Linked DNA regions of Nothobranchius furzeri. The protein of the gene in region 2 purifies or fractionates together with the protein of the main gene of each other region. This does not show direct contact. Links are inferred from orthologs where the notes say so. Each region holds a gene or a part of one and is shown on either strand. Other genes may lie near its edges. The genes, in order: rc3h1b and faua.

What was found.
Region 1: the proteins of faua (region 2) and rc3h1b purify together in Homo sapiens (affinity purification with mass spectrometry; 3 studies listed by BioGRID, with this or other methods). This does not show direct contact. The link is inferred for Nothobranchius furzeri from reciprocal best matches to the Homo sapiens genes FAU and RC3H1.

Annotation. Positions count from the first base shown.
Region 1 is NC_091751.1:54,521,904-54,526,358, reverse strand, and holds the start of rc3h1b (roquin-1), read right to left. Parts: upstream 3,009-4,455; 5' UTR 2,851-3,008; intron 1,758-2,850; 5' UTR 1,576-1,757; coding exon 1,345-1,575; intron 1-1,344. UniProt on the Homo sapiens protein: Post-transcriptional repressor of mRNAs containing a conserved stem loop motif, called constitutive decay element (CDE), which is often located in the 3'-UTR, as in HMGXB3, ICOS, IER3, NFKBID, NFKBIZ, PPP1R10, TNF, TNFRSF4 and in many more mRNAs.
Region 2 is NC_091742.1:23,793,800-23,797,534, reverse strand, and holds faua (FAU ubiquitin like and ribosomal protein S30 fusion a), read right to left. Parts: upstream 2,477-3,735; 5' UTR 2,367-2,476; intron 1,821-2,366; 5' UTR 1,814-1,820; coding exon 1,739-1,813; intron 1,626-1,738; coding exon 1,481-1,625; intron 1,274-1,480; coding exon 1,218-1,273; intron 1,036-1,217; coding exon 910-1,035; 3' UTR 812-909; downstream 1-811. Other genes in the region: peptidyl-prolyl cis-trans isomerase FKBP3, read left to right, coding at 70-167, 457-511; prpf39 (pre-mRNA-processing factor 39), read right to left, coding at 3,364-3,453, 3,553-3,667.

The DNA.
Region 1 (4,455 bases), on a different chromosome or scaffold from region 2:
ATATTACCATCTTTGTGTGCAAATACAACGGTTTAGAGGCCATTTAGGGCATTGTATTAATAAACTAAATGAGCAGTTTCTCATCATTAATCATAATAAAACTTAAAATGTATTTGAAGTGTTATGCAAACACAATTTTATGCTAAATTACAATTTTTTGTTCAAAAACAAAAATGGTTTTCCATTGGTCTAAATGTAGTATACTTTAACACTTGTTTACTTCTTATATACACACATATAGCTGTTAAAACAATAGAGGATTTGCTTTTTTAAATTAACAATATTCCACAGGATTAGAAAAAAGAGGGAATGCCTCATGCAGAGAGGTGTTTATTATTAAACACAGTCCACCATGTTGGCAGAGTGTGGATTATTAATTAGCAACCATACAAGCTGGTGGGCATCATCTCCGACTTAGACTCATGAATGCATTCCTTATATCAGTGCTGATGATGCACTAAATAACTATTAACTAAAGGCCTTCAGGCACAGGGTGCAGAAGGATGCTCTGTTGCCCTTGGTGCAAAAGGATCACATGCTGTGAGTTTCCCTCTGGGTGAAATGAATGCTCGCAGGATTGAGAAATCTGACAAAGCACACAAGGTGTGCTGTTAATCCTATCTCCACAGGACCAGCACTTTTGAGGAAGCCATGTCTAAACTTTCGGACTAAAAGTACAACCACCACGCAGAGTCTTCTGTCTCCCAAATCTTCCAACATTTACTTCTGCAGCAGCATCTGCTCAACTGCTGGTACTTCCTGGATATTGGTTTAGTTATAACTTGCAGTGTTCCTGAACAGTGATGATAATACAACTACCTAATAATTAAAATAATAAAAATGACTTAAATTTAAAGCATACATTTTGACATAAACAAAAAGTTAAAAAAAAGTGGTATTATTTTAAGATTTCTCCCCTGGCATATTATTTTCATCAAGGAGGTAAAAACATGTTAAAACATTACGTTACTAACGATTGAACGGTTCAGCTTCATTGCCAATGCACTGATCTTTTCCATTACTACTAAGTCTAAACCTGGAAACTGTGGTAATAACATCAACTGGGACTCGCCCTGCAGGTCAAATATTACCTAAAAGAAATACAGTTACTTATGAAGGAAGCACTCGGTAAAACTAATTTCAAGCAGCCGCTTAATAACTCTCGTGCAACTCATAAAGCCATATAAAAAGCTCATGCACCAGACTACAAATGACAAGCACCTCAAAAAGGAAACAACAAAACATAACAAGGAAATAACCTGATCTGTGCACAGGTTATCTAAGCTTCTATCACTACACTTGTATGGTAATTAAATGTCAAATACACACGAACTCTGGTCTTACCTGGCCTCCCACCAGCTGCAACAGGGCTGTGTTGACAGGTAACTGCTCAATGTCAGTGCTGATGGCCGTCTGGTCAAAAGGACAGGCCTTACGGTGCAACTTGTTCAGGCACATCTTGCAGACAGTATGTCCACAGCCCAAACTGATGGGCCGGCGAACAGTCTCCTCAAACGTCTGCGTGCAGATTGGGCACAGCAGAAACTCTGTCCATTGTGGCGCTTGCACTGGCATGATTATATGTTGGTGGGTTGGGTGCGTGTATATTTAGGAGTTAACACAAAGAAAAATATAATAATTATATATAGATATAGATGTATGGAAGATTCCACTGGAATCGAGATTGTTTTCCGAACTTAATTGTTCTTAAATGTCCTCACACATTGTGGATGTTGGATCACATCTCGTGATGAATACTGTAAAAGAAGAAAAAAATGAATCAAAGTTGTAAAAACATTTCTTGAAATAACTTGTTTTGAATAAGAGCCAAATGCTTCTTTACAATCGTTAGTAATCTTTGTATGTGCCGACATGAACCATCAAAATATTACCATGATGGCTATATATGCATCTAGCAAAAATGCTCTAACCTAGAGGGTGGCAAAGTCGACAGCTAATGCTTTTGTGTCGACTTCTTTTCTGCAATTTCCATTTTACACTCGCAATAACAACTAAAATATCAGTAAATAAACACAATATGATTTAAAAACAAGGCCTACTGAACAAACGACAACAACAGCTGTGTGGCCTACTTAAAGAAGCTTGTAGCCTCTCTGGACAAAGGGTACAGAAAGAAGCTAACTTACAAGTCACTGCTATCAAACGCAATGAAGCTAACATAGTTAAGATACACTCTACTTCGAGAAAACTTAGTTGAATATAAACAGAATATATTGTTAACTTTGCATAAAGTGCTACAATGATCCACTTAAGACAATATAAATAGTAATATTAGGCGATGCGTTAGCTCACTTTAGCAATCTAAGCTATGGGTGGCTAGCTGACAATCGTAGCTAACAAAACGTAGTTGGATGAAAAACATTCGCTTCACAACAATCTCGAACCAGATGTTTCTTCGCTATTATGTAGTAGTTTTTCTAACGCTAATCACACATGTGCAGCTATTACAATATCAAAAACATCAGCTGCCACTCGTGTATAAATATACAAGGAAATGATACCTAGTAGAGACCGAATAAAACATTCGACTTGTATAATTATGTAACGCTAGTATCTCAAACTAACAAGTAGATATATTACCAAAAATGTATATTAACAAGATCCACTAACTAAATGGCGACACTTGGTAACTACAGAAATAGTCTTGGCCAAAGCGGCTGACTCGAACGCTTTTCTAGTGAGACAGCTAGCTGGCTAATGAACAAATGTTGCTCCTCCATGTTAACAGCAAATAACCATCGCTATGCGTCCGTGTGACTTTAACTAATCATGCAGCGCTTCTATCAGTTTCCGATATGATACCGACGACATTTTGTCGATAATACTCACTTATTCCAAATGAATTGGAAGTATCTCATCTTTCTTTACAAAACTGTTGCGATATTTTCCTGCCATGTCGACTGCGCAGCTTCGCTGCTCTTAGGGGAGGGGGTTGTCAATTCGAAGACAGACTAGCTTGAAGGTTGGTGTTGTGACAAAAAATGCAACCCTTCCGTAAAAAGGAACCAGTTACGCGAAGCGAATTTCTAGATGGCTTTATTCGCACATAAAATAGATAAAAATGAAAGCAAATGAACAGGACTGAAATTTTCATTTAACTTATTATGCAATCGTTGTTATTTATAAGAATGGACCCTCAGAAACAAAGGAAAAGCGAATATCACCATTCAGTAGGGATAGGCTGCCAGCGTTGGACCCACTATCCACTCTGTTTGGTATCATCACTGCGTTAAATATTTACTATATTTATAAGGTTTGCAACTTGTGTACGTGTGAAATATGTTTTTTTTACGTTTTTTTCTTTTTAATTTGCTGCATGGACGTAATTTTCACTTTAGATGTGGGGGGGACACGGGGGGGGGGGGGGATCTTTACAGTATGTTCTAATGGGAAACAGGCTTCAACACAAACGTTTCTACTTGGTCCTAGAGCTCAACCAGTGTCAATTTAATATAATGTAATATTGCTTTTGGATGGTAAAAAGTGCAGGGGTCAAAACTTGGCTTTGGAAAAAGTGGGGGGGACATGTCCCCCCTGTCCTCCCCCAAAATTACATCCATGATTTGCTGTAAGGAAGAAAACATGTGCCTTGAAAATTTTGTCCTGCGACGAGGGTTTTCTTTTTCAGCACGACACCGTTCAGGGCTGCGCGTGTGCGAGCACCATGGCGAGCACACGTTTACCTGCGTTCGTTGAACGCCCCCTATCGGCGATAAGCCGCATGCACAGCCAAAACCAAACGATCTCTTAAGTCTGGTGAAAACGACAGCAAAAACACTCAAATGTGAGTCAAAAGAAACATGAAACGACGCAGAGAATGAAAATGACACCACGGTAACGGTTTCTGATAAAAAAAAACTGATGTATTTTTTTCATGATGTCAAAATCTCATAATAGAAAATTAACAGATACAATATTGCTCAAATGACACACACACCAGACCCAGATCCAACAGATAAAAAAAATTGTGAAATTATTATTTTTTAATCTGGAAGCAAAATGTCAAAAGAAGGAATAACATAATCACAAATAAACAGACAATTAAATAAATGGCAACCACGACTGAGTAAACACACGTTTCAAGGGGGGGTTTCCTTTTTTAATTTTCCCGGGCTGTTATAATGTTTATTCCGTCACGATTCCCGTTGGAGGGCGCAGGGAGGAGGAGGAGCGGGGGCGAATAGGATAAAAGGAGACAGAGGGAGGGCTCAGCCATATCGACAAGTAAGAATCAGGTGACAGCACACAAAATCTGTTTTTCATTTTCAAAACCGGGCTCTGTCTCGTCATCAAGGTAACCCACGAGACAGAATTACTACTTTTATTTCATCCGGTTGCATTTGGATGGACAGTTTGCAGAAGCTCTTACGCAACAGAAGCGTGGAGTTCGTTCGTGTGGCAAGGAAGAAGGACGAAATTAAAGCAAACATTTCT
Region 2 (3,735 bases):
TTTTTATCCTTCATGTGCATGTTCACAATTTCCACAATGTTAGACTCTTAATTCCTGCCGTCACTCCAGTGGGATGAAGGCCTTCTGACTATGAGCAAAGGGGAAACGGCCCGGCTGGAGATTGAAGCGGAGTGGGCGTACGGGAAGAAAGGCCTCCCTGACTCCAAGTATCCTTCTCTTTGGCATCACAATAAAACAGGTTTCATTTTACTGGGCTAGTTTTCTTAATCTTGTAGAATTTTTGTGGTACTGGAAAGTACTTTAACTCTTTAAAATAAGCAGGAAATAGGGTTTTGATCATAATAGTCATAAATGAGTTGTTTACGTTTAGGTGTTTTTTCTCTAGTTTAAGGTGCTGGATAATATTGAACATCTTGACTGTGGTAAATTATATTTTTGTGAAGGTTATAGTTTGACTTCCTGTTAACACATTTTCCTTAATTCCAGCTCCACCAGAATCCCTCCTAATGCAAAGCTGATTTTTGAGGTTGAGCTGGTGTCTGTGGATTAAACAGTCCACCAGCATTGCTCTCCATATGCAGCTTTTGGATCCCTATGTTGAAATGTCGTTTGGACTGCACTTAAACAGTCCACTTTGCCTTTATCTAGTCACATGTCATTTGTTTAAACCAGAATGATTGTAATGTTTCCGTGTACAAAATAAAGTTCTTAGTTTGTACAAAAGACTTAATTACTTCATTTTAATTTTCACATTTAGCTGTTTCATTGAACTTGTACATTAAAGATGCTATGAAATAAAAGCACCAAGCTTTTCTACATTTATTATAATCTAGTACCACGACACAACGCGTTGAAGCCAAGTTAAACTTCTTTATTCTGTACAGAAATAAACATTAACTTGGTAAAAGATGACAGATGGCGTTTGTCGTTTCTCCTCCGGGTTGCTGATTAGGAGTTTGCATTTGGACCCTTCTTCTTTCCGAAGGTGGGCACGACATTCACGAAGCGCCTGTTGTACTGGATACGGCGCTTGGCACGGCCAGTCTTCTTTTTTTTCTTCTCCTGTTTGTCGACCTGGATGGAAAAAAAACGCAGATATTTAGGATTGTACCAGTTAATGACTTTTTATAAATTACATTTTTAATAACTGACTCAAACTGTGAGGGAAAACAACTAAATGTTTCTTTATACACCCATTTTGGACAATTCCTTAACTATAAATGCTTTAATGGAGTTAAAGATGTAAAATTCCTTACTTTGGGAGTCTGGCCTCTCACTTTTCCAGCACGGGCAAGTGAACCGTGCACCTTACCTGAAAGAGAGCATGATTAAACTATAGGTCTTCAAAAATAAATAACTATTCATATGATGCTGTTTATATGTACAATCAGCAGTTTACCACTCACTACCTTGTCAAACTGATAACCTACAAACTTGAGTTTGATTCATTATCTATTTGTCACGTTTGCTAATGGCATACTCTCACATGTATACATTCACTTTGCATCTATGTACTAACCTCCAAGCAGCCTGCCGGCAACCTCCAGGGTACAATGCTCGGACACACCACAAGATGCCAGGGAGGCGTTGTCCTCCAGTGGGCACCCAGCAAGCAGCAGGACCTGATCCTCCACATGGAGTCCTTCCAGAGTCTGGACATGGGCCTGGAAAACACCAAAACCCAGATATTATTAGAGCAATTCCTGCTTTGAGCATCTTAAAATGATTATAACAGCAGAGTGTGTTGGAAATAATATAACAGAGGCCAGCATCCTACCTTAATCTGGCCAACAGTCTCCTGTCCGGTCACCTCAAGGGTGTGAGTATTCTGGGCACGCAAAAAGAGCTGCATCCTGAGGCTGCAAGGAAACGTTTTCAGTTAGCTCTGCTGCTGCTAACAGGTGCAAAAGGACGGCATAGATAAAATACCCAGATGTTAGACAGGTAGATGAGCTGACACACAACCACAGGCTTCACACAAACTCCACATCAATGTGCGTTCTTCTCTCAGAATTAGCTACAGCTTTCCTACACAAACCAAGATGTCTGCCACTGTCGTTAGCTGCGGAAATTCGATGGTTTTGTTTCATAATCTTTTAAAATACAAACATTTAACCTTAGACTCATAAACAAATCCAAACCAGACGTTAGGTAGATGTTAAAAAGCCTCAAACACAAGGAAGCAGAGGGTGGACGAGTTCCCGGTATACTCAACGCTAGCTCAACTAGCCTCATGAGGACATGCGTTTTAAGAAAAACCGCACAAAATACTTAAAATACACTATTAAGTCGAATGTTTAAACACATCACATACAGCCTAAAGATAAAAGTAGTGTATTTGAAAACTTAGACTGTCTTGAGGTTGGTTTAATGATGATTTTTGACTAAAACTATACGGTTCCTACCTCGTTTGATGCTAGTCGTTCCACGCTAAGCATAAAAAGGACCGTCTGCGGAGCGACACTGCGCATGTGCAGATTTGCGTAACGCTCGGCGGAAGTGATGGTGACGACTTGACGCTTTTTAATAAATGATAAATGACCCCCGCTTGTATAGCACCTCTCAGAGTAAGGACTCCAAAACGCTTTACACTACTGTGTGTCACTCATCCATTCACACACTGATTACGCCTAATCTATCCCCTGCTTTAGGAGGGAAACAAACTCTTTAATCACGTATTACGTATTGACTACATGATACCCTGTGTGCTAGCTCCAGCAGACTTTCATGTTCGATTATTTTTCTATTTGACTTCGTCTAAAACTTGTTTTCTTTACATCTGTGGTGAATGCTTTAGTAATTTAGAAGCAGCTACATTATGACTAAAGATTACATCAATTTTTGGTCAAGGTGTGTGTGTGTGTGTGTGTGTTAGCTCACCAGCTTTTTACTTCTGATACTTTGAACCAACCACATAAAACAAAACGAGACATGAGGATACCACTCTTTATTAAGAAATCAAGTCAAAATTAAAAAAGGGATTCTTCATTGCTCCCAATGGAAACAAGCATGAAATACTAAAAATGTTCATTTGGAAACTTGACCACAACAATTAACTGTGTTCCTTACAAGCTTTAAACGGAAACACAAACAGGTCAAAATAATCCAATGTAGGTCTCTCGTATGTCATGCATAGGAAAAACAAAACCTTCAACTTAAACAGTGCAGAGATGATTAATTTAGCAGTTACGTTCCTCCACAAAATGAGATGAACATCGTTACCATGGAAGGCCAAATATCATCTAACAAAAGAATGCTGCAACACGTCAACTGTAAGCCAGGAAGTAGAACTAGAAAAACTCCACAGCGTAGTTCAACTGAAATCTCTTGATAAATTTGCTTGCTCCAAGATTTAAGGTCAGAAAAGATCCCACTTCCATCTTCATGTAAAAAGCTTGTTCATCATGTAGGAGGGGGAGGGTAGTATTGGTTGTACTGGGCATACTGGTTGTACTGTCCCCAGGAATTCTGTCCCCAGCCACCGTACTGTTGCTAAAGACAAAACAAAGCAAGTAAGTTAATGCCTCATGGCTCTGGTGATCGTGAGTTTGTTAAACACAACGTAAGGATGTGGTTAGAAGACAACCCTACCTGGTACCAGTTGTAGTTGTACGCAGAGCTGTTTGCCTGCATGTCTGTCATGGCGTTTGCCGCAACAGCTGAAGGGTCGTCCACACGCTGTCTTTTGGCGTCACTTTCTTGAGAGCTAAAGAAGAAAGCTTAAATTAGCAAATATGATTTAGGGCCCCTCCCCCCAATGGTAATGCTTTAGCT